4 linked regions of the Drosophila melanogaster genome follow. The protein of the gene in region 3 interacts with the protein of the main gene of each other region in a pairwise test. Each region holds a gene or a part of one and is shown on either strand. Other genes may lie near its edges.

What was found.
Region 1: the proteins of Pfk (region 3) and Mlp84B interact in a two-hybrid assay, tested with the Drosophila melanogaster proteins (one large-scale study listed by BioGRID).
Region 2: the proteins of Pfk (region 3) and Nadk1b interact in a two-hybrid assay, tested with the Drosophila melanogaster proteins (one large-scale study listed by BioGRID).
Region 4: the proteins of Pfk (region 3) and trus interact in a two-hybrid assay, tested with the Drosophila melanogaster proteins (one large-scale study listed by BioGRID).

The regions. Positions count from the first base shown.
Region 1 is NT_033777.3:7,112,341-7,119,503, reverse strand, and holds Mlp84B (muscle LIM protein at 84B), read left to right. Parts: upstream 1-1,771; 5' UTR 1,772-1,853; intron 1,854-2,787; exon of another isoform or gene 2,788-2,852; intron 2,853-3,665; 5' UTR 3,666-3,744; coding exon 3,745-5,232; 3' UTR 5,233-6,654; downstream 6,655-7,163. Other genes in the region: Alh (alhambra), read left to right, coding at 1-42, 456-546. UniProt on the Drosophila melanogaster protein: Plays a role in cell differentiation late in myogenesis. Transcription factor Mef2 is essential for expression.
Region 2 is NT_033778.4:13,547,718-13,553,258, reverse strand, and holds Nadk1b (NAD kinase 1b), read left to right. Parts: upstream 1-1,808; 5' UTR 1,809-2,302; coding exon 2,303-2,586; intron 2,587-3,000; exon of another isoform or gene 3,001-3,099; coding exon of another isoform or gene 3,100-3,272; intron 3,273-3,342; coding exon 3,343-3,660; intron 3,661-3,722; coding exon 3,723-4,305; intron 4,306-4,364; coding exon 4,365-4,652; 3' UTR 4,653-5,015; downstream 5,016-5,541.
Region 3 is NT_033778.4:10,108,056-10,115,767, forward strand, and holds the start of Pfk (phosphofructokinase), read left to right. Parts: upstream 1-1,684; 5' UTR 1,685-1,786; coding exon 1,787-1,830; intron 1,831-1,877; coding exon of another isoform or gene 1,878-1,895; coding exon 1,896-1,998; intron 1,999-2,050; coding exon 2,051-2,118; intron 2,119-2,176; coding exon 2,177-2,492; intron 2,493-2,814; exon of another isoform or gene 2,815-3,373; coding exon of another isoform or gene 3,374-3,418; coding exon 3,419-3,520; intron 3,521-4,561; coding exon 4,562-4,903; intron 4,904-4,960; coding exon 4,961-5,115; intron 5,116-5,229; coding exon of another isoform or gene 5,230-5,338; intron 5,339-5,487; coding exon 5,488-5,596; intron 5,597-6,070; coding exon of another isoform or gene 6,071-6,179; intron 6,180-6,861; coding exon 6,862-7,050; intron 7,051-7,259; coding exon 7,260-7,702; intron 7,703-7,712.
Region 4 is NT_033777.3:12,454,792-12,458,969, forward strand, and holds trus (toys are us), read left to right. Parts: upstream 1-1,781; 5' UTR 1,782-1,832; coding exon 1,833-1,940; intron 1,941-2,007; coding exon 2,008-3,101; intron 3,102-3,160; coding exon 3,161-3,416; 3' UTR 3,417-3,653; downstream 3,654-4,178. Other genes in the region: CG18549 (uncharacterized protein), read left to right, coding at 1-22, 94-551, 619-1,214; CG5961 (uncharacterized protein), read right to left, coding at 3,708-4,178.

The sequences.
Region 1 (7,163 bases), on a different chromosome or scaffold from region 3:
CAGTATTTCCACCTCTGGCTCCGCTCTGGAGGATAACAATAGGTGGGGAACGAGAAACGCAAAGAAAAGGTCTTTTACAATTTACATTTTTCAAAATTTGGTAGTTACTTAGTTTACGCCTGATTTTAAAGAAACAAATGGGACTGTGTTGCACATCTATGATTTGCAAAATTGTTAATTTATCGAACACCCGGTGTAGACAACTCTTTTATTTTGTTATTCTAAATAAATTGTAATAATTAGAACATAATGTATATTAAACAGTGCCCAATGTTACTGAGAAACCAGACTTTTTAAATATGTTTTTGTAATTTCATTGAAAAAGGCAACTTTTGGAATCCGTTTCGTTTATTAGAGAATATACTAATACTAAAATAACCCCGTATAAGACCTTTTTCTACTGAAACAATGTATAGAAAAAATCACACTAATATATTTTTCGGTTGTTTCTGTAGCTTAATATCCCGCTATGATATCAAAGATGTTCAAGTTGCACTGACGCCTCTAACAGATTTTGAGAAGGAAATCGAGAAGAGCTCCAAGAGGGTAAGTTGATTTTTTCTTTGTTTATCTTTTAGCATACTATTAATAGAATGATAAACAACTCAGTTATCGTTCCGAAATATTGAGTTAATATAAGCTTTTTTACTTTTAAGGAAACTTGTTTCGGATCTCTTGAGTGATTTTTGCGAAACATTCTCTTAAAGTGTTTTCTCTCTTTTTGGATACAATGTTGCTATATTAATGATGGTTCCCATTATCTTTTACACTTGTATACAACTTGTCATTTAGTTTTTCTCTGATCAAACCTAAAGAGTGGGACAGAGAGTACTACTATATTCGTTTCACTCGCCAAAAGTTTTGAACGCAGGCGCCTTGCCAATTTTTGTATCATACTTATAAGTGGAAATGCAATTGCAAATGCATGTTAAAAATGTTTTGAGAAATTCTGCCGAAGGTGCGCGTTAATTATACAAAAGGTGTTGCCCACCCGTTCTTGTCTTTAAGAAATTCCGTGTTTTTCAATGCTACCCCTTGAACTTCGGAATTTTCGATCGATCCATTTTTTAAAATGGTGTGTGTTTCGATCGAAATACTGTAATAAATCAAATATTAAATTAGTTTGTTATAAATTTGAGAAACTTACTACTACTACTTTGATTTCAAAACTAAAATAATCGGTAAAATCATACCATTAGAACTAATATCAAAATGAAATCATTCTTAGTAATGATATTAAGAGGTATTTTCTGGCCGAGTTGGCCCCCGCCATGTCTGGTTCTATTTTGCCGATCTGATTGATGCTCAATGATGTACCCATGCCCCATTAATTTCCTTTTGAACCAAAAATGCATGGCAAAATATCGAATTTTAATTAAATGCAAATGCGCATGTTAATTTATTGATGTTGAAGTGCCAATGTTCCGAAAGGCAGGCAGGCAGTGGCTTTGAACAAGACAGTTGAACCATGTTGTTGGTCCAATAAAATACCAACATCATCTTTTTCGCCTTGTCATGAGCACGATCACCTGGAATATTCTGCTATAAAATGACCGTATATACAATTTATGAAAGCACATTTTTCTTGTATACTAGCATATTGTATATGTGAGAGCAGATATTTTGTGATTTGTTGGGATTCTTGTTCGGATGGCTAATGTATTTATTGTTGGGGCTATATAGTCATCCCTATCATTTTCTCTGGCGACAAAGTTGCCTTCGTGCCGTGTGCAGACAAAGACTGAAAGCGCTTGACAAATTTTTCAGCGCGATCAGTCGAAAATCGTTGTTAATCGAAGCTAAACTAAAATTAAGGATATTTCTCTTGCGAACCTTTTTATTACGAACGAAAAGTAAATATCAGTTTTTGTCAATGGAAAACGAAAACCAAAACCAAAACCAATCACGCATAACCCAGTAAATTCCAATATTTTGTGTTGTGCTTGTCTAAAAAATATCGGTTCAAGCTCTGCTACAAACCAAACGCGAAGCGATGAAAATACAGTTTTGTCAAGCGATCGTTTAAATTTAGAACTTGTGCGTAATTTGGACCATAATTTGACCCACAAATGAGAGGAGGAATGTATGGCTCCACACAGGAAGCATTTTTCCCACACACTATTATTAATAGATTCCGTTTTTTCGAGTGTGAAAAAACTTTACGGAAACTGTCTCACTCAATAAAATGAGAACTATTTGCGAGGAGTTTTTTTTTCAATCGAGTTTTATTCAAGTACAAATCGATCATCTTTTCATCAGATCAAATCGAATAGTCACTATCCTTGAATAGAGAAAAATTAAAGATACAGTCCTTACTCGACGTAAAAAACACGTACATTTTGATGAGTTTTATAATCTTATTGCATGCAAAAAGTATTATATTTAGTCGGGAATATAAACAAACTCCCAGATGCCTGAGGTTTCCAATGATATGCAACTTTTCGATCATCTTTGATAATCTCCCACTGGGATAAATGTGCATATAATATACACAAAAGTTAGCAAACATCCAAGAATGAGATACGGTCAAGAAAAAACGAGTGAAGGATATGGAATAAAAAACTTTTTCGAAGAATCGAAAAAGTTTAAAAACCGCAGATGCATACCAATATGTTTCCATCCCACTCTCTGGCGTTATTTGATGAAAACTGAAATAAAACGAAGGAAAACTGCTCCGTGTTGCCGCATCTTAAGTTTCTCAACTCGGTGTGCTGAGCAGGAAAACTCAGTGGCAGCGGCGAAAAGTCGACCGCGTTGCCGTGCCGTGTGCACTCACAATTATATAGACTAGTTTGCTTTGAGCAATCTTCCAGTTCAGTACTCGGCGCTTCCGTGTGTGGTTTTAGTGCGTTGTAGGTTCCGTTCTATCTTGGCTATAATACACTCACACCCAACGGTTGGATATCGCCAGCTCTTAACCGATTTTTTTGCACGCAGCAAAAGACCATTGCAAAGCACCTGACTAATCCATCGCAACCGCTAGATAACCAGATTACCGGCCAGGGACGATGCTCATCTGATGGTGGTGCTTTAGCTCTGACTCAGTTTTAGAACACCCAGATATGTACATATATATATCTGCCACAGTTATTTTTTGTGTGTGCTTTTCCCAAATCTATCTACCTGTCTGCGTTATTTTTATACAACATTTTCTGTATAGATAGATACACATTTATTGCTCATGTTTTTCTCTGTGTTCTGTGATTTGAAAAATTCCTCCTTTATTTTTTGTTGTCATGAGAAAGATGTTATTTTCTGATCATTAACATAGGAATCTTCAATATGAATTACGTATACATACGTCCGGTTGGGTAATTTTCTGGCACGGGCGATGACGTCTCGACTGACAGATAAGAATCTTGATAGATGATCTACATAATGCAAATTGAGGAGAAATTCGCGACTGTCAAGTTGAATTTGTAATAGTTCATTGTAAACTTAAGATAAAACAAGCGTCTTAATCGTCCAAATAGGTTAACATGTAGATTAGCTTGAATTAACTAGTTGGGCTTAGAATAATTTGGAAACCATTTAACATACAAAAATGACAGATGCTTACCTCATCGCTTTCATCGCCACCAAAGCTTCCACTCTGCTGCATTTCCCAGCAGGACTTACGCCACGATCCCATCGACTCTATGTGTTCTTCTATTTTGCTATTTCAGATAATAAACTTAATAAGTAAAGTAATTGTACTCGCGTAGATCATTTTGATAGCGTTAAAAAAACCGAAACACAGACAGAATGCCTTCCTTCCAACCGATCGAGGCCCCCAAGTGTCCGCGCTGCGGCAAGAGTGTCTACGCTGCCGAAGAGCGTCTGGCTGGCGGCTATGTATTCCACAAGAACTGCTTCAAGTGCGGAATGTGCAACAAATCCCTGGACTCCACCAACTGCACAGAGCACGAGCGCGAGCTCTACTGCAAGACGTGCCACGGTCGCAAGTTCGGGCCGAAAGGTTACGGCTTCGGCACTGGAGCTGGCACCCTCTCCATGGACAACGGGTCACAGTTCCTGCGCGAGAACGGCGATGTGCCGTCCGTAAGGAATGGAGCCCGCCTGGAACCCAGGGCTATTGCTCGTGCCCCCGAAGGTGAGGGCTGTCCTCGTTGCGGTGGCTATGTGTACGCCGCCGAACAGATGTTAGCCCGCGGTCGCAGCTGGCACAAGGAGTGCTTCAAGTGCGGTACCTGCAAGAAGGGTCTGGACTCGATCCTGTGCTGCGAGGCTCCGGACAAGAACATCTACTGCAAGGGCTGCTATGCCAAGAAGTTTGGACCCAAGGGCTATGGTTATGGCCAGGGCGGTGGTGCTCTCCAGTCCGACTGCTATGCTCACGACGACGGAGCACCGCAAATCCGTGCCGCCATTGATGTGGACAAGATCCAGGCCCGTCCGGGTGAGGGTTGCCCACGTTGCGGCGGTGTGGTCTACGCAGCGGAGCAGAAGCTTTCCAAGGGTCGGGAGTGGCACAAGAAGTGCTTCAACTGCAAGGATTGCCACAAGACTCTGGACTCGATCAATGCCAGTGATGGTCCCGATCGTGATGTGTACTGCCGCACCTGCTACGGCAAGAAGTGGGGACCACATGGCTATGGATTCGCATGCGGCTCTGGTTTCCTGCAGACCGATGGCTTGACCGAGGATCAGATCAGCGCCAACAGGCCCTTCTATAACCCGGACACCACGTCAATTAAGGCCCGTGACGGCGAAGGCTGTCCCCGGTGCGGAGGAGCCGTATTCGCCGCCGAGCAACAGCTGTCCAAGGGCAAGGTGTGGCACAAGAAGTGCTACAACTGCGCCGACTGCCACCGGCCATTGGACTCGGTCCTGGCCTGCGATGGACCCGATGGCGACATCCACTGCCGCGCCTGCTACGGCAAGCTCTTCGGCCCCAAGGGCTTTGGTTACGGCCACGCCCCCACTCTAGTGTCAACCAGTGGCGAGAGCACCATCCAGTTCCCAGATGGCCGTCCTCTGGCCGGACCCAAGACTTCGGGCGGCTGCCCGCGTTGCGGTTTCGCCGTGTTCGCCGCCGAGCAGATGATCAGCAAGACCAGGATCTGGCACAAGAGGTGCTTCTACTGCTCGGATTGCCGCAAATCGCTGGACTCGACCAACCTGAACGATGGACCCGACGGCGATATCTACTGCCGAGCCTGCTACGGCCGCAATTTTGGACCCAAGGGAGTGGGCTACGGTCTGGGCGCGGGCGCTTTGACAACGTTCTAAACGAGCCTATTTTATGTATATCCAATCGAAACCCACATCCATGTCTGTGAACCGTTCCGATGCATCTGTCTAATGACCAATCTGTTTTAACTAACTATCCCTGAAATTAGCTAACTTAGTCTTCGTTTTGCTTCCAACGATTTTTGATCAACGATGCACTGAATGCAATTCAATTTTCTTTAGGTTATGTGAGATTAAGTTTAATATGAAAACAAGAAAAAAAGAATAAATGCCAAAAACATAAAACTTACGACTCAAAGCGAAACTAACCATCGAACACAGACTAACGAACTAAACGACATTGACCACATCGAGAAAAGCAAAACTTTCTGCAGGTGAAACTGCTGCGAGCCAAAGTCGTTATTACTTTTTTGTATCTTAAACTATTTATTTTCGAAGACCAGCCAAGTATGTCTTATGCTCCAAATCGAATTACCCAAAAGCATACTTTGTGCAAATGGAAAAATTTTATACACATAAATATACTCTTACGACGAACAATGATGAAAGATATGATGTTGTATATTTAGCTGATTTAGTTCTTACGATATACTTATGAAATCTGATTATTTATAATGATGTTTGAATGATTTCTCACCCATCTAATCTCTTGCATTCTGTTTGGGATGCCAGCCATGGCAGATATAAAATATTTATTTATATATATATACATCAGCGTACATGTTCTGCATACACACACACACACACATAACATCCAATAATATATGCCCCAGTGGGTTCCATGAAAACAAAATGATTTCGAAATGGTTTTCGTAGTTTTAATTGATTTAATTGGGTGTGCATACCTGAGATTTCTGCATCTAAATGGTTGGTTGGCAATCTGATTGGAATGACCGGTGGGTGGTTGGGTTGAGTTCAATTCCGTTTGTTTCGGGATCGTTCGGTTCGGATTGAGCCAGCTCATCTGGTCTATATATAGCTTGTTCGGCCGACAAACATCGTGAAAAATAATTGCTCAACATACGCACAAAGAACGTTCCCTACATATACGTACAGGAATAAATCCTTGGTTGTGTGTGTGTGTGGCCTCTCGAGAAAAACATCGAAATGTTCCATAACCGTACTGAAATGGTTTTCTAAATATAAATATGATGCCAATATGCCTCACACAGCTGACCCGAAAGCTTTTCACAGCACTCAAAACTCTCACTCAAGAGAAGAACTTAAGAGATTGTATTTATTCGCATATATACTTGTGAGGAATCCCTAGTTATATTATAATAATTATAACACGTGCCTGCTGAGAATGTTGTGTAATAAATGCTTTACTCACCCACCCACCTAGAGCAAAGTTCTTATTGCTAATGCACTTTTAGGATCACCCCCCACCCGAAATAACCCCTTGGGAACAAAATTTTAATGATTCCGTCCCACGCCCACTTGCGCGCATTATTCACATTTCTATTCATTTTATTCGACATCCTATAGGTATGGTATGGTTTTATGCTCCGTGACGTTGACCACGAAAATACGTTGCCAAGGGGTTGGCCAAACTAAATAAATTATTTTTTGTTTTAATATAATTTTTTTTTGTTTCAGACACAAATATCAAATAAATCGCCTTCAGCCAGGTGTGTTTACGTTAGTTTTGGTATCGCATTGGCGAGAATATTTATAGACTTACCGAGTCAGCGTCTATTTTCGAGTGATTTTGGTTTTGAAATTGTTTCGCATATGACACACGGCACTTCAAAAACACCCGAATTGACGAGCCACAACAGTGAGAATATTTTTTGCGGACTGCGCCGCTGATGTTGATCTCTAAATATACTTGGAGATGTATTCTACTCGTATTCGATATGGCTTTTCTAGTATGTTATTAATGTTCAATTTCTGGCTTTGAATGGCGCGAATAGATTTATGCCTTGCTGAAGTCCGCGACTATTTGTATAACGGATCGAACATGATAA
Region 2 (5,541 bases), 3.4 Mb from region 3:
AGTCACTTAGTTGGATCTCGCCACCGGAACAACGAGGTTGTCGTCTCAAAACTCGGTTTTTTTTTCATACTTTTCCAATAAAAAAAAACAACAAAAAATGCGTGAGGAGGATCTCCAATTGGCCCTCCAAATGGTGGCAAGTACCTCGGTGTCCAGTTCTCTGGAGGAGGAAAATGATGGAGCGGCAGCCACGTCGCCGGGCAACTCACCCAAGCCATTGAGAAGAGTCCTGGATTTGAGTGAGAGGCGTAAACAATTCAGGTGGGTGGACTAAGAAAGCTTCACAGGAAGGGAAATAAAGAGGTAAACATAGTAAACATGTAGTTTAGACTAGGTTTTATACAAAAACTACAGCTAAAGCTAGTTTCAACAGTGTCTATAGTAGATTTCCTATTAAAGAAAGATTCCAAGTGCTATTAATAGCTATCTGTGCAATAAAAACACATTAAAAAACAATATATTAAATGATATTCTTAGATCTAATTAAAGTTTTTCACACAATGCCATTTCTCCGCCATATAGTTGTATATTGTTTATAAGCGGTTCTAAAAATAAACAACAAAAATGTTTGTTTGAGAGGTTAAAAGCACTCAAAAACACGTACAAATTAGGCTAAAAATAAAAATGGTGTTTTCACGTGCCTGACTAATTTGCAATGCCAAGTACACTCCTTTGTCGACATTAATTATGAATGACGAATGCTCTTCTGAATGACGAAGGTGAAGACATCCGTTGGGTTTTTAAATTTCGCGCTTACTTTCGCGATGGGCCAAGAAATCGATGCTATCGATTATTTAATCGACTTATTGACAGCCCTAGCCAAAACTTTGACCAGTTTTTTTTTTGCATCGAAAGAATTCGTTAACAATCAGTGCGGTGTACTGCATTTAAACGGCATATATAGCACGGCATTCCTCCAGATAGGGCACAGATGTGTCCCTGATCTCTCCAAGCATCTGCAGGCATACAAGTGGAATGCCAGCACCAGAGGACCTAAACTCCTCCGACCAAGAGGAATATTTCTGCACCGAAAAGGACGCCGCTGCCGATGGAAGTCATCTGTTGCATGCCCCTGGAACGGTGGATGGAGCAACTGCATCCACCTCGGCTCCGGGACTGGGCGGCAACCACATGACCAGCAGCTGGTGGTGGTAAGGTCCCAATCACCTGCCCGAATTTGTAATCATGCGGTCTTATACACAACTCTTATCGGATTCCCATCTCACATGCAACAACACAGTGGTGGCCGTACGAATAGGTGCTTTAAGCGATAATTCCATTGACCTGGCACGCGACTAGCATTCAGTGTATGTTTTGTTTGTTTGTTTTTAATATATTACTATAAGCTTACTAATTATTAATTAACTAGGCTGACATCGATTTTAGGCTAACAAAAGTGCTATGTTGCTTAAGTTTATTAGTACAATGGCAAAAAAGGCATGTACTAGGTTCTTGGCAGGAATTTTGTAAGCATAAATAATTAACCATATTAAGTAAGTTTAGGAACTCATAGATATAACCTCTTCACTCATGTTTTCCTCGTAAAAGTTGAATAACCCATCTTAAAATAGTTTTCTTAATTCCATTTAAACGAAAGAAATTGAAAAGCGATTTGGTCTAGACTTGTGCCAATTTCGGCAATTGATACGCTTTGATAGCTTCGATGTTATCAATTGAACTGCTAATTGATCGCCAAGGCCTCTGCGCCTGCGCTCAGCTAAGTGCGATCTGGATTGGAATCGGGAAGCTGTCAATGGTGCGGAGTAGAAAACCCAGTCCGCTGCGGACCAACGTGGTCAACTCAGGCGCTCAGTTGTTGCTCGCACTCGCGATCGCCCGGTTGACAAATTCAGGGCCCTCCGTCATTTCCATTATGGCCATCAATTTTCCGCCCATTTGTGCGCAATAATCAGTGGTGGAAAATCGTTGGAAAATTATCTCACCCTTGGCATAAAGTTAAAGTGAACACATAAAGCATAAAGCCTAGTTTTTCTTAAACACTCCATCAGCGTAATGCATTTCTGATTACCAGTTTGTGTGTCACATTCGCTGATAAAACACTTTCTCTTTTACGGCCGACACATTCACATTTTTTGGGCTCATATTTTGTTGGCTCATCGATGAAAAGTGCGTGGGCGTGTTATTTTTAAAAGCAACCGACTCTCGTGTTGTGAAAACAAAACTCTAACCTTGGTCCCTTTTCCGCTGGCCAAAAACAATGCCGTCCGACTGCATTCCATGAGCGCAAGTGTATGAAACCGCATTCTTTTTTGGACACAAAAGTGGAGTTACAATCGCAGAAATGGCATTGTCGGACATTGATTTGGCCACCTTGCACGAGAATCGCTTGGAGCAGCGCTGGCACTACGGATTGCCCAATAGCCACCACATATACCATCAGCATCATTATCATCATGTCGGATTCAGTGCCATGACGCGGCTCTGTCTCGAGCGCAATCTGCAGAGGAAAGTGCAGCCGGACCACAACGGAAACTGTCTGGCACGGGGACGTTCCCGGGAGAATGCCAATGCCATTGATTCGTCGTCGTCAGGTGGTGGGCGACGCAGGCGTTCCGGCACCTGGCCGTAAGTGGACAAACAGCTGAAAGGTTCCCCTAGCTATGAAATTGCATGCGAAAAGCATGGAATTCGTAATCCAAATCCAAATCGGTACGATGGCGCAATAAGTGCACTGGCAAAAATATGGTTCCTACTTACATATTCAAGTGGAATAAAGATTTATTGTTCCAAATGTTCGAATTTCAAAACTTTTATAGCATTTAAAGTAGATCTTTTAAATCAAATACTTTATTGTTGCTTACTTTATTGTACATAAGTTCCCTTACAACTGAATGTTTAACCAAGCCCCTGTTTTTCTTAGTGCATCTACGAATGCAAGCAGGAAGGGGAATTGGAAATGCGATTCTGGGGAATCGTATCCCACCAATGTTCCCCAATGTTTTTCTCTCGACTTCTGTCTGCCTTCGCAGTCGCCATTTGCATAAGGTTGATTTACAGTTGAGAGAACTTAGTCTGCATACTGCAAAGGTGGAGAAAACAAGCCAAATATTCTGAAAATCCTGTTGAAATATTGAACAAATGTTTCCCCTGCGTCCTGATCAGCCGCAGGCGGTTGCCTCGTTTCCGCTCCACAGCTCCTTGAGCATCGAAGAGTTCAACAATGTGAAGTGGGAGGATATAAATGATTGCAATAACAATTGCATTCGGGAGGAGCCAATTCTAAGGCCCAAAACCAATCGCCATATTTTAAGGTCTTTAAGGAGCTAGGTACAACAAAGTTATCCATACTAATTGTTCTGTTTTCCCAACTCTATTTTACAGGCGCACTCGCAGCTTGAATGCACCCTCGCCTGTCCAGCAGTTCGGACCATGTGGTCGCATCATGAAAAACTCCGCCATGGTGATGCAGATCCAGGATCCGGCTAGTCAACGTCTCACCTGGTACAAGCCACCACTCACCGTGCTCGTGATCAAGAAGGTCAGCGATGCCTCGGTGCTGGCACCGTTCGTCTACCTGGTGGACTGGCTGCTGCAGGAGAAGAACATGGTCGTTTGGGTGGAGTCGGCCGTGCTGGAGGATGTCCAGCTCAACGAAAATGTGCGATTCAAGGCCATTCGGGATAAGCTAGTGACTTTCAAGTGAGTCGGTGTTTAATGAGAATGTGTATATAATATAAATAACCTATTCATTATGCCCGCAGAGATGGCCGAGATGATCTGACCGATCGCATAGACTTTATAGTTTGCCTGGGTGGCGATGGCACCCTGCTGTATGCTTCGCTGCTCTTCCAGCAATCTGTGCCCCCCGTCATGGCCTTCCATTTGGGCTCCCTCGGCTTTCTCACACCCTTCCGTTTCGATAACTTTGAGGAGCAGCTGACCAGCGTCCTGGAGGGTCACGCTGCCCTAACGCTTCGCAGTCGTTTGCGCTGTGTTATGCATCGCAGGAGCGATAGGAAACACGAGGCTAAGACTCTGGAGGCAGATCTAGATGGTGAGGCGCGACCTGCAGCCAACAGCATACTGGTGCTCAACGAAGTGGTCATTGATCGTGGTCCATCGCCGTATCTGAGCAATATTGATCTGTTTCTGGACGGAAAGTATATCACGTCGGTGCAGGGCGACGGTCTGATCGTATCGACGCCCACGGGAAGCACGGCATATGCGGCGGCGGCCGGTGCGTCCATGATCCATCCCTCCGTGCCGGCGATTATGGTGACTCCCATCTGCCCGCATTCGCTTAGCTTCCGACCCATTGTGGTGCCAGCAGGAGTGGAGCTGAAGGTGGGTCGCTTTACTCATAATTCCCATAGATCCGTTTCTAACATCTGCTACATTTTCAGATATCAGTATCCCCCGAGAGCCGCAACACATCGTGGGTTAGCTTCGATGGACGCAACAGGCAGGAGCTCTTCCATGGCGACAGCCTTCGCGTGACCACCTCCATTTATCCCGTGCCATGCATCTGCGCCCAGGATCAGATATCCGACTGGTTCGCCTCCCTAGCCGACGGACTGCACTGGAATGTGCGCAAGCGACAGAAGTGCCTGGACGAGCTGTCGGATCTGACGGCATCCGGATCGGAGGATACGCTGGACGAGATCGAGAACATGAAATTGTACGATGTGTAGTGCGTAAGTCCCTGCAGCTAATAGAAACCGTAGGTTAGGGCTTTTAGTTGTAGTTCTAATGCTTTCGCCCTTTGCTTAGTGTGTAATTTTTGTAGTATTTTCGGTAACAAATTGTTTAAACACATTTGCCAAATGTATGGAAATCATTTTATAACTTTTACTGTTCGAAACGCCAGTGCTCTTGCAATATTGTACATTTCAGCTAGTTAAATATAAATGCAGTTGCAAACTGTAGCAAAAAGTTGTAGAGAGCATTGAATGAATGAATCTCAAATCTTTGAGAATTAACATTAAAAAGTCCCACTTCTAAAAAGATAAGCAATTGAATTATATATTACTTAATAAAATAATACCTGTAAATTCAGCTTGTAGCCGCAAATTAATGGAATGTTTCAAGCATTTTACCAAATTTAGCTTGAACATAACTTATAAAACATTGTCAAGTTGTGCTGTAGATTAAGCCTGATTGCAAACTGATTGAAATGTGTTCTCCTCCAGCTTCGCCTTGTAGATTTCGCATTAGTGTAGTTCCAGCCGGCACACCCAGATCATCTGGACTGGTTTTTAGAGCGCCTCTCCCAGGCCACTTGTTGCATGTTGTTCACCTCGCGACTGTCTTTGGATCCAATCGAATCGGAATCGGATTGGATTGGATTGGATTCACGTGGTTGCCACGCACTTGGGCCTGTCAGAAAGCATTAGTTTGCATCGATTTGGGTGCGAATCGAAAGTGTATGTTGCTATCGCCGATGCTGAGGCTATATGTTTTGCGCCCTCAGGCGGTACGAGCCATGTTCATTACGCGGCTAAAATCTTGTGCCATTGTGTTAATGCGCGCGATCGTGTTTTAGCCGCATGTTTTCGCCTTTTTTGCCCGCCGAACTCAAGG
Region 3 (7,712 bases):
CGAATGCGGACTATTTGGGAGTTTGGCATGATTTTTCCGGATTTTGAATCAAATTAATCTAGCAGATAATTCGTTATTGTGTGTGTTTTTCCCGATCGAAACGGCCAAACTCTAGATGCTCCGAATTTGTTCGCCCTGGCGGTGCCTCGTGTGGATTTCCTCCTTACAAAACAACAAAAAAAAAACAACTAAATAATATTCCTAACTGTATACACAAGAAATGAAATGAGATAATCGGTTATTATACGTTTTTTGCAACAGTCCAAATTAATATTTAATTTTCGTATGGCAACAGAAACAACTGCAAAAGATACAGCAACAACAACAACAACCAAGCGAACCAAATGAGAAAACAAAAATAAAAACAAACTTATGTATTATTTGTAATTCTTTTTCTAAACAAATAAAACCAAAAAACCTAGTTTCCCATTTTACGTTTATTTCATTTCGAAATTGGTTCACTTTTCGTTTTTCAACCTGCCCCCCACACACACAAACAGAAGCACACACAGATACACACAGTCACACACAGACAGGGCTGCATTTATAATGCACGTGCGGAAATCGGTTCAAATCCCATGAATCAGGAACCATATCTGTTAGAGGAATGTGGCGAGAACGGAAAAATACAGAAAATATATAATTGTTCATTGCTATTTTTTATACATGTCTTACATAAAACAAAAGGGTTAAATCTACAATTGCAATTTCTTTGTTGTTTTTTCTTGGTATAAACAATTGTGAAAAGCATAACTCATATAATACATACATATAACCAACTGTCGTCTGTCAAATGAATTTTTCGAACGAAATGAAATCTAATATCCCCTCGCGGAAGTCCACTAACATTTTTTTTTACTGTGCAACATGGCGAAGGCACGAGTTTTATTGTGCGCAATGTCTGCCCAATTTCCCATTTATTCGTTAGTTGGGTGTAACTTTTTGAAGTACATGCATAAATATGTGTACGTTTAAGCCCAGAGAAGCGTTTCCCCAACAAAGAAACAGCCACAAATTGTTCCTAAAATCTGGCGATTATTTCTTAGCTGTTTTATTATCGTTCGAAAACGTGGTCGACTTCTTCAATCTATGACAATTGCAGCCTGCAAATCAGCAATGGAATTATTAAAACGGAAGTTAAATGAAGATCGAATCAAAATACATAAATATTGTGAACTAAACTATTCAAATTTTTAATTTAAATACAAGAAAACTTTGCATGTGTATTGAAAGAAAATATATTATTGTCCAGCATACAGAACATATGTATGTATGATAAAAGTAAATGTATATTTTCGCAATTGAATTTATCGCTATATTATGAATGTGAGGAATATAAAAAAAAGCAAACAAAAAAATATATATTTAAATAAAAGAAACACTTTTGCCGCAACGCTAATAAGTCGAATCCCAGAACATATAAAATAATAATATTGTGAAACTGCAATACATTCATAAAACCGAAAAATAATAACAACCAGATGAAAATTAAACCGGGTGTAGGCGTAAATTGTATGCATATAACAGAGGCAAAGATTGATGTATGAGTGGAATATTTAAGTTTATTGAAATTACAGTTTCTTAATTACCAACAAAAAAAAAACAAAAAATTAAATAAATAATACAAAAACCAACCAAATGAGTTTTTATTCAAATATAATATTTGTGATCGTAGTTACATTAGCTAAAATGTCAAAAATCATAAAAAAAAAATGAGTTCAGAAAATGAAAAAAATTGGTAATCTAATAAAAATGTTCAATATTTAGGAGCAAAATTTAGTTTGGCATGCATTCAATAAAATTTCGAGTATTTACCAAATTAAAACCTATGTAAGTTGTTGTCTGAATTTGATTTATTCACTACACCCACTTATAAGCTGTTCGATTGTTTGGAGATTTTTGGAAATCAATGGACGGATACCCATTTGCCGCCATTTTCATGGTCCTACAACATTTCGCTTAGAAATCTCAAACAAAACACCTCCGATTAGGCAAAAGGTAAAAATCGAATTTAATTTTGATCAATTTATAAGACTTTGTTTTACTTTAGCTCACATTTCCAAACATCGGCATCCAATGCACACGAAGTCATCATTTGTGTTGTCCTCGAGATATTTCGTATGTGCTTATATAGTTTGACTTTATATTATAACACTTCTTCCTTTTACTTGCTTAGAGGAAATACTCTTTTAAGTGTAAAATTTAATTGCAAACGACATTGTATAAAGTTGCGCAGTGATTCTGGTGATCAAAAGAATGATAGTCCTGGTGAAAAAAACATACAAAAAGACAAGTCTGCGCAACGATGTGGAAAACCAATAAACAATCTGCACAACGGATTTCTTAATGCTGTGAACTATTCTGAAAAGAATGCGGTGAAAAAGAAAAAGAGTGCACCAAAAAGGAAATGTGGCAAATCGGTGGATGAGCTGCGAAAGTGTTTAAGAACCATGCAGGATGTTATTGATTTTGTACATCCAGTCAAGCCTTTTGTAAGTTTGTCTCGCTTTTTACAGTTTTTTAAATAATTACGCACTTAAACGAGCACTAATATTCAACGATAAAAGCTCTTACATTTCGTTACTTTACGCGGATAGTTGTAGATAGGGTAGAACATCAGTTGAACACTTGAGATATAGCATAATAATTGGCGTTTCATAAACATTTTCGAATCTGAGGATACATTTTCCGGTTTTTTGAATATCAGAATAACGTATTATATAAACGATAACGATAACGGCAATCGCACCCACACACAACCGATGACTGCTCCCGAATTTCCCCATTCCCAGCGGTGAAAGCTCGCGAAAGCTTTTACTCGCCCAGTGATAACCAGCTGATCAACAGCTGAACGATTGTGGGTCGAACATAAACAAATTGGTTAAACGCTATTTTCCGCTCGTTGCTAGTCGCGAAAAGTCCGTTCATAACAGACAGAATCCTCAGATTTTCGACCTAAATCAAACCAAGTTAGGGCAATCGCGTTGGAGCGAACTCTTGGGCGGATTTAGCCATCCGAAGTTTGCATTGCATCAGTACGCACTTACAGAAAGCCCGTGGCTGTGTGCGTGTGTCCGTGTGTGTTGTGTATGCGTCTCTGGCCTGAAGGTCACCTTGAAACGTCAAAAGCAAAAGCGAAACTTGTGAATACCGCCTGCGAGCGTACATATTGCTAGTAACTGAAAAGCCACGGCAAGGAGCAGTAGTAGTATTTATAGCCCACTTGGATATAACCCAGCTCCAGCGGCGCTGCTCGCATAGTTGCAAAACAGGGAAACTCCCTACCGAGTACAATAGTGGTTCATAGTGTGTGCTTTGTGCGATATCCGTTACGACCCCAGTTTGATTTACATATAGTGCAAAAGATTGAAAAATGAATTCCGAGATTAATCAACGATTCCTGGCCCGCGGCTCGCAGAAGGACAAAGGACTGGCGGTCTTCACCAGCGGCGGGGATTCCCAGGGCATGAATGCCGCCGTGCGAGCCTGTGTCCGTATGGCCATCTATTTGGGCTGCAAGGTGAGTTGGTGACCTCTGTCAAGTACTTTCCGCCCACGCAGCATCGCGTCCGGTGACCCCGACCCCCAGGCACAGGCAACAAACCCATGTGAACCCAGAAATTTACGTAAAACACCTGGTAATTTGCTTATCAGCAGCCGTTAAACCACGACTATTGGGCCGCAAAGCCAGTTAGATAATCTCCAATCGGTGCGAAAAGAAATTCAAGAATATATGTGTACATGCACATTGACATTGGGTTTATTTTCGGGTCCCTCACATGCGATTTCGATTTCGGCTAATTTGTTTCGTTTTTTTGTTGTCGCTCTTGGTTTCTATTCGGTTTATTTAAATGAGTTCTTTAATTTGTTAGGGAACTTCTGGCCGGCCGTTGGTCCCTCGAAAATATGCAAAAAATGTGTCAATTGCTAGCCAATTTAAATTGATTAAAATCTATTCATTTGATTTCAATTTCTTGGGGGTCAATAAAAGTAAAGTTATTGCCACGCTTTGCATGACAGCGCTTGATATGTTCAATAAATTGAACAAAATTAATAAATATATCATGAGTATGCTAAACAAATGGTTCCAAATCAGTTCAAGTAATCTAACCTTTGTTTTTAATCTACTAGTGCCTTGGCATCATTATTGTTTATGTTATTTTTTCACTTTTCAAATTAAGAGCGTTATAAAATTTGAATTCTTGGTTATGTGAGTTGCTTAAAAAGTATCGATTTAACATCGATTACATTGTAATTACCTGTAACGGTATTTTGAATATGCAAATGTTTTGTTGTTTAAAACTTAAACTTATTCAGTAAAAGTTGAGAAAGTATATGAGATAAGTCATATCATATTAATTTCTATTGACTGTTCTTTACTGCTTCCTATTAAAATATTACGACTTTGGCAGAGTGAAAATGAAATTAAAATAATTTATACTCGAATTCGGTGATTCATTTTTAATTGTGCTAATGATGTCATGTGCCATGAAGATACCAAACTCTATACCAAACTGTTTTACACCATATCTACAATTGATTCGTGTTTACCTTCGGCAAGGTCTACTTCATTCGTGAAGGCTACCAGGGCATGGTGGATGGTGGCGACTGCATCCAGGAAGCCAACTGGGCCTCAGTCTCATCCATTATCCATCGTGGTGGCACCATCATTGGCTCCGCCCGTTGCCAGGACTTCCGTGAGCGTCAGGGTCGCTTGAAAGCCGCTAACAACCTGATTCAGCGAGGAATCACCAATCTGGTGGTCATTGGAGGCGATGGCTCCCTCACGGGCGCCAATCTGTTCCGTCAGGAGTGGTCCAGCCTGTTGGACGAGCTGGTCAAGAACAAGACCATTACCACCGAGCAGCAGGAGAAGTTCAATGTCCTGCACATCGTTGGATTGGTATGCTACACAGAGTATTCCTTGGATATATTTTCTTATGGATGAATCTTTTTGTAGGTTGGCTCCATCGACAACGATTTCTGTGGCACTGACATGACCATCGGCACGGACACGGCACTACATCGCATCATCGAGGCAATCGATGCCATCTCCAGTACAGCCTACTCCCATCAGCGCACCTTCATCATGGAGGTCATGGGTCGTCATTGCGGGTAAGTTGATCTCTGAGCGGATATTTGCGAGGAAAAGTTGGGATGCCTCTGTATTAGCCTAAGTGTCAGTGATTAATTGGGATTTTAGCTAATGCCTGGAACGACTATCTCTAGCTATCTTTCGGTGGTAGCTGGCATTATCTCCGAGGCAGACTACGTCTTTCTGCCCGAGTCTCCTCCGCAGGCCGATTGGCCCGATCGACTTGTCCTTAAATTGGAACAGGCAAGCCCAAAACGGAAATCTGTTGAATGTCGTCGACTCATTTCGCACATTTCTGTTTCTATGGCCGCAGTACTATGTCGATCGATCCCCATATCCTCCAAAATCCCATCCCCCTTTTGACTAATATTTTGTAATATATATTTTTGCAGCTATTTAGCTCTTGTGGGTGGACTGGCGTGCGAGGCGGATTTCATATTCATTCCCGAAATGCCGCCCAAGGTCGATTGGCCAGACAGGCTCTGCTCTCAGCTGGCCCAGGCAAGATGCAGCTCCATTTCCATTCCATCAGCACTGCGAGAAGTCGCAAAGCATCGGAAATATGTTCTCGACAGCTTGTATAGGATTTTAGGATATTATTCTTATTAATATAGCCAGTTAGCTGTCGAGATAATATTCCTGTTTTAGATAGAGTTGTATACTTCAGTGCAGTTGTCGTTGCTTGATGCTTAAGTAGTACACCTGTACACAATTTTTTGAAAGACACATTTTAAGAGCGACACTTGCCATACAAACGCTTGTTCTTATTTTCTGCTTACTGCACACGAATGTATCTTTAAACACAAACCGGAGATACGGAATGAATTACGCACAGTTTTTGTCTGTACCAGCATACCGAAATCATATTGTAACTAATCTTAAGTTTACCCCAGATACTCCCAATCCCCGGATAATTATCTCCCCGACATTTGTGAACCATCTTTTATTTTTGTACCTAATCTCTTGTTTTTTTAGTTACTTAGCCATATCGGCAGCCATAGCCACAGAGGCTGATTTTATGTTCATACCCGAGGAGCCGGTGTCAGTCAATTGGAAGGACGAGATCTGTGTCAAGCTCCACCAGGTCAGGTCCAGAGTCCTTCGCTATCCAATTAATTTCTAGTTACTCTTTTGTCAAATTTTTGAATTTCTAAATTTTATTCTGCATTGTTTTTGGACTATTCGATGTGCCGAAATTTCCATGGCGATAAACAGCTTTAACAGCTATTTGATTTACTTGTTTGGGTTTTGAGTCTCTGTTTTATGTACTCACGATGATCTCACTGAGTTCCCTTACTAACTTTTCCAAATCCACTAACGTCCATCCTCGTTTAATCGATCAGTAAATCTTCATCAATGTTTTCTATTCATCGACTTTGACTTGTGCGTCCATTCTTCATATTTCAAAACACCAATTCAGTTGCAGTGCATTTCAAAGTTTCAAAACTGATTTAAATACTTAAATACATTGAAAAGAACGTGCACACAGCCATTTTAATGATGCAAACTGAAATACATGAATATCACAGAATAACGTGAGTTAACTTTATGAAACGCACTGCACTCATTCGCTTGCTGATACACATTTGGTGACACTATTTCAACATTGTAAAGCAAAGCATATGTAAACTACATTTTTTTTGTTATGATGATGTCTACTCATCATGCCTCTTCATAATTCGTTTGTGCTTTTGTAGTTTCTGTATCATTCACGATTAGTATCTTACATATATGCTTAAGTGAATCCCTTCACCATTGACCAACAGGAGCGATCTGCTGGCCAGCGTCTGAACATCGTGATTGTGGCCGAGGGAGCCATGGATCGCGAGGGTCATCCCATCACAGCCGAGGATGTAAAGAAGGTGATCGACGAGCGTCTGAAGCACGATGCCCGCATCACTGTCTTGGGTCACGTGCAGCGCGGTGGCAATCCCAGTGCCTTCGATCGTATTTTGGTAAGTAATTATCCAAAGATCACCTCAAAATTTAATTTTAATTAGTAATTTACAATGCCAGCTATTTTTGTTTTATTTGTATAGCATACTTATATTAAGAAGCGCTGTAAATCCGATTTAAAACACTAAAGTTACCAAAATAAGATATACTTATTAAGATATAATTACACTATTTTTGACTTGAGAGTTAATGCTTCTAACCCGCATAGGCTTGCCGCATGGGAGCTGAGGCCACTTTGGCCCTGATGGAGGCCACCAAGGACTCGGTGCCAGTGGTCATCTCTCTGGACGGCAACCAGGCGGTTCGCGTGCCGCTGATGGAGTGCGTAGAGCGCACCCAGGCTGTGGCCAAGGCCATGGCGGAGAAACGCTGGGCGGATGCCGTCAAGCTGCGCGGACGCTCCTTCGAGCGGAATCTGGAGACCTACAAGATGCTGACGCGCTTGAAGCCGCCCAAGGAGAACTTCGACGCCGATGGCAAGGGAATCGAAGGATACCGCCTAGCTGTGATGCATATTGGTGCTCCGGCTTGCGGTATGAATGCCGCTGTGCGCAGCTTCGTGCGCAATGCCATCTACCGCGGTGATGTGGTTTATGGAATCAACGACGGTGTCGAGGGTCTGATTGCCGGAAATGTCCGCGAGCTGGGCTGGTAAGTAATC
Region 4 (4,178 bases), on a different chromosome or scaffold from region 3:
TCGTGGGAGCACTGACCTATACGTGAGTATATACCCCCCCACCGGTCCGACTCATACATTTTGGTACCTAAAACATTTGAAACTCTTTTGCAGAGCCTTCATGATCACGTTCATGTTCCCGTCGACGGTATTGCTGTACGTGGGCAGCGCAGTGCTGGGATTGGGTGCCTCGATCACTTGGACGGGACAGGGAACGTATCTGGCGCGCTGCAGTGAATCTTCCACGATTTCCCGTAACTCTGGCGTCTTCTGGGCCCTGCTGCAGTGCAGCATGTTCATTGGGAATCTGTTCGTGTACTATCAGTTCCAGGACAAGACCCGCATCGACAAGGAGACACGGAATCTGGTCATCGGCGTGCTCACGGTAATTGCTGTGCTGGGCATCGTGTTTCTGGCCGCACTGAGATTCATGGCCGATAATGCCGAGCACGACAACGAGCTGGAACAGAAGCACACGGGCTGTGGACAGGCCATATACGCATTGAAGTCCGCAGGACAATTGTTCCTCACCAAAAAGATGCTGCTCCTTAGTCTGGCCTTCTTTTACACAGGTGGGTTGGATTGTGGTCAAAACTGAATAGAATCAGAGATACTAAGTGCTTAAACATAACTTTCTAGGCCTGGAGCTGTCATTCTTTAGCGGAGTTTTTGGATCAGCGATTGGATTCACCACGAAAATAGCCGAAACACCGAAGGAGATCGTTGGACTGGTGGGCATTTGCATTGGAGCCGGCGAGGTCTTTGGAGGAGGACTATTCGGCATACTGGGCAACAAGACGACGAGATATGGACGCGATCCCATCGTGATTGCCGGCTATGTGATGCACATGGCAGCCTTCTTCATGACGTTCATCAACCTGCCGAACAGTGCACCGTTTAAAGATACCACCGATATATCCTATCTGGACCCGCCCCGAGCCAGCATCGCCTTGGTGTGTGCCTTCCTTTTGGGCCTGGGCGATGCCTGTTTCAACACTCAGATCTACTCCATGCTTGGCGGGGAGTATGTGAACAATGCCGTGGGAGCCTTTGCCCTGTTCAAGTTCACCCAGTCGGTGGCGGCGGCCATTAGCTTCTTCTACTCCTCGCACTTCGGGCTGTACGTGCAGCTGGGCATCCTGGTGGTTATGGGAACCATTGGCACCATTGCCTTCGTCTTCGTAGAGTGGGGCTTCAAGCGGCAGCACCGCGAGCAGGAGGCGTTGGAGAAGTAATTCCGTTGTGGGACTCAGAGGATCTAGAGTATTAGATGCAGGTTCTTGTTAGAACTCTAGGGCTAGGGCCATTTGTCCGTGTTTGTTAAATTCCTCGGAATGCTTTAAATCCGTGCGACTGCGTCGTCTTCCTAGACAATAACTGATAAGTGTTGTTGCGCGCTATTGTTGCTAAATATACGTATTTTAATGTTGGCATTCCAAAAAACGTAATTGTAATCTAGTTGTCTATGTTTTTATATGTGTGTATTGTATATGTGCGTTTATTTATTTTAAGCGGCGATTGTGCAAATATAAGATAGTAAACCACAAATTTGGAGTATTATAAGAAATATATAACGAATTTTAAGAAAATAATAGTTGTTATGGATCTTACTTGTGTGCTACTCATTAATAATAGAATTTTGTGCTTTTATTTCATTTTTCAACTATTTGATATATTTTTGAACTGCCTAGATTTCATACTTTGAAATTCGCACACTCGATTACGATGAGTCGATATCTTTTAAAATCGATAGTACCATGTGCAACTATCGGTTGTCTGCCCATGAGCACTCATTTCGCCCATTCCTAAAAGAAATCATTCAATTTTGAAAGACTTGAATGAAACCATGAAAAATGGCCAAGAATAAGTCGACTGTGTACCTAGGATACGAGGATGAGGAGGTTACGGCCAAGCAGGAGCAGCTCCTGAACAGTTGCACAAACAAAATCGGTGGCACACCCGTAAGATAGGCGATTGCATCGACTTCAATAGAGGCAGCGGATAATTGAAATTGATTTTTACCCACAGGATTGGCCCAGACACGAGGTGACCATTCCGTCATGCCCGCTGTGCGGTGCAGTGCGTCCACTGATCGTGCAGATGTACGCCCCGCTGGATCGCTCCCAATTCCATCGCAGCCTTTACGTTTTTGGATGCATGAACCCAGTTTGCTCTCAGAATTCAAAGAGCTGGTGTTGTGTGCGCACTCAGCACCTGGACCACCAGTACGAGGTGATCAGTGAGCATTCGCCGAAGGCAACGCCAACTAAGAAGCAGAACTCCAAAAAAAAGGGGAAGTCGAGCGGATTGCAGGCTATCAGCTGGTGTAGTGGAGCGGACGACTGGGGCGACAGCAGTGGTGGAGCAACCGAACAGGCCAAGACCATCTCCGTGGCATTGGACGAGGCTATGGACATCACCGCGGACGACGACCAGAACGAACGGAATGGCAATGTGCGACCGAATGCCCTGCAGTACGCCAAGTCAGACATCCAAATAGATGAACCAGCCAAACTTGAGCAGGTAAAGATTGCCGCCGATGATGACGACGACGAGGACGAGAGCACTTCGCTGGAGAACGAATTGATCTCTGGCTTTCATCAAATGGACATGATCTCGCCGCAAAACGCCGACGATGATCCAAATGCTAATTGTGCAGCGGCCGCCGCTCCCAGTTTGGATGGAGCTGGAGCCAGTGCCGCCTCAGCGGCCATTGGTGCTGAGATCGAGGGTCCCGAAACGGATCTGGTGCTGGTCGACACGCCCAAGAAGCCGGAACGCGACCTGATTGCCTTGTTGAAGCACACCTCGGGTGCGCTGTCGCAGATCAAGGACCTAACGCTAAAGTCTTACTATATTGCCGTCGATGTAGAGAACAAGACCCAGGCGGAGGAGTACGAAAACTTCGGAGGCGCTTTGTCCATGGACCACATTCGTGATTTGTATCAGGAGTACAAGCTGAGAGACCAGAATCCGGGTCAGTCACCGACCGGCGGTGCATCTGGACCAGGAGAGCAGGGCGATGAGAACGAGTCCTACGAGAAGGCATTGCCAGCCCATGGCGATTTGGTGTTTCACAACTTTATCACTACCATCCATCAGAATCCGGGCCAGCTGTTGAGGTAAACATTGTACTTCTATCCTCATTAACTTTCCTCTTACCCAAGTTGTTCTGCTTCAGATATTCGCGGGATACGATCCCGCTGTTGGTGGCCCCGTTCACGGAACCTCTGCCCAAGTGCCAGAATTGCAGGGGAGAGACCATCTGCGAGGTGCAGCTGCTGCCCACACTGATTCCCAAGCTGCGGTTCCAGGTGAACGGTTGCAATGCACCAATCGAGTTTGGCAACGTGCTGGTCTTCACCTGCCTCAAGAGCTGCTGGGACACACCCGACCTGATGCGCTACGAACATATTGTGGTTCAGTCTGAAACTTAAGGTGCCGTACACGGCCATTTCCCAAAGCCATTAGAGTCATTCGCTGTAGCCGCTACGATTGCAGACTGGTGCAACGAATTTTAAACGCAAACTGCAGAGATAAAGCTAAGCTTCTCGATTGTCCTAGGAAGATTTTATGCTCTAGTTGTTAAGAACGTTGTAAGCTTTTAGACACTCCAAAAATGGATAGTTGCTAATAATATCTCGTTATTTCCACTCCCCCTCTAAAAGGGTTTCAAAACATATTGTTTTATTTCCAACTTGCAGAAATCCATTCTAATTCTAATTAACCTAAGCCAATGGTGCATCAGCATCAAGATGGTAGCTCTTTACGGTTGAGAACCTCAGCGCCGGATATTTGGCCTCGGTCAAATCGAACTCGGAGCTGATGTCCACCTTGTTGCGCTTCTGCACGAGCGTGTAATGTGACCAAACCAACTGGGCGCATCGGCGCTTGGTGGTGCCTGCGATGCGCAGCTCGATCAGGAACTGTGAGGAGTCCTCATCCACTGGCATGATACTCCCTCGCCTCTGCCGCACGTTAGCCGGCCCTCGCTGCTGCGACTTTTGCAGCACCAGAGTGACTGTGCTCCCGAAGAGACGATAGCGACCCCGAAGCATTTCCGCCCGTACGTTGTTCACGTGCTTCAGTTTGGATACACCTTGCGCCGGCTCATCGGCAGTCGTCATCATCAGCACCTTGCCATCGGGCAGAAAGCGAATGTAGCGATAGTACTCCACCAGTTGCACAGGACGGTAGAA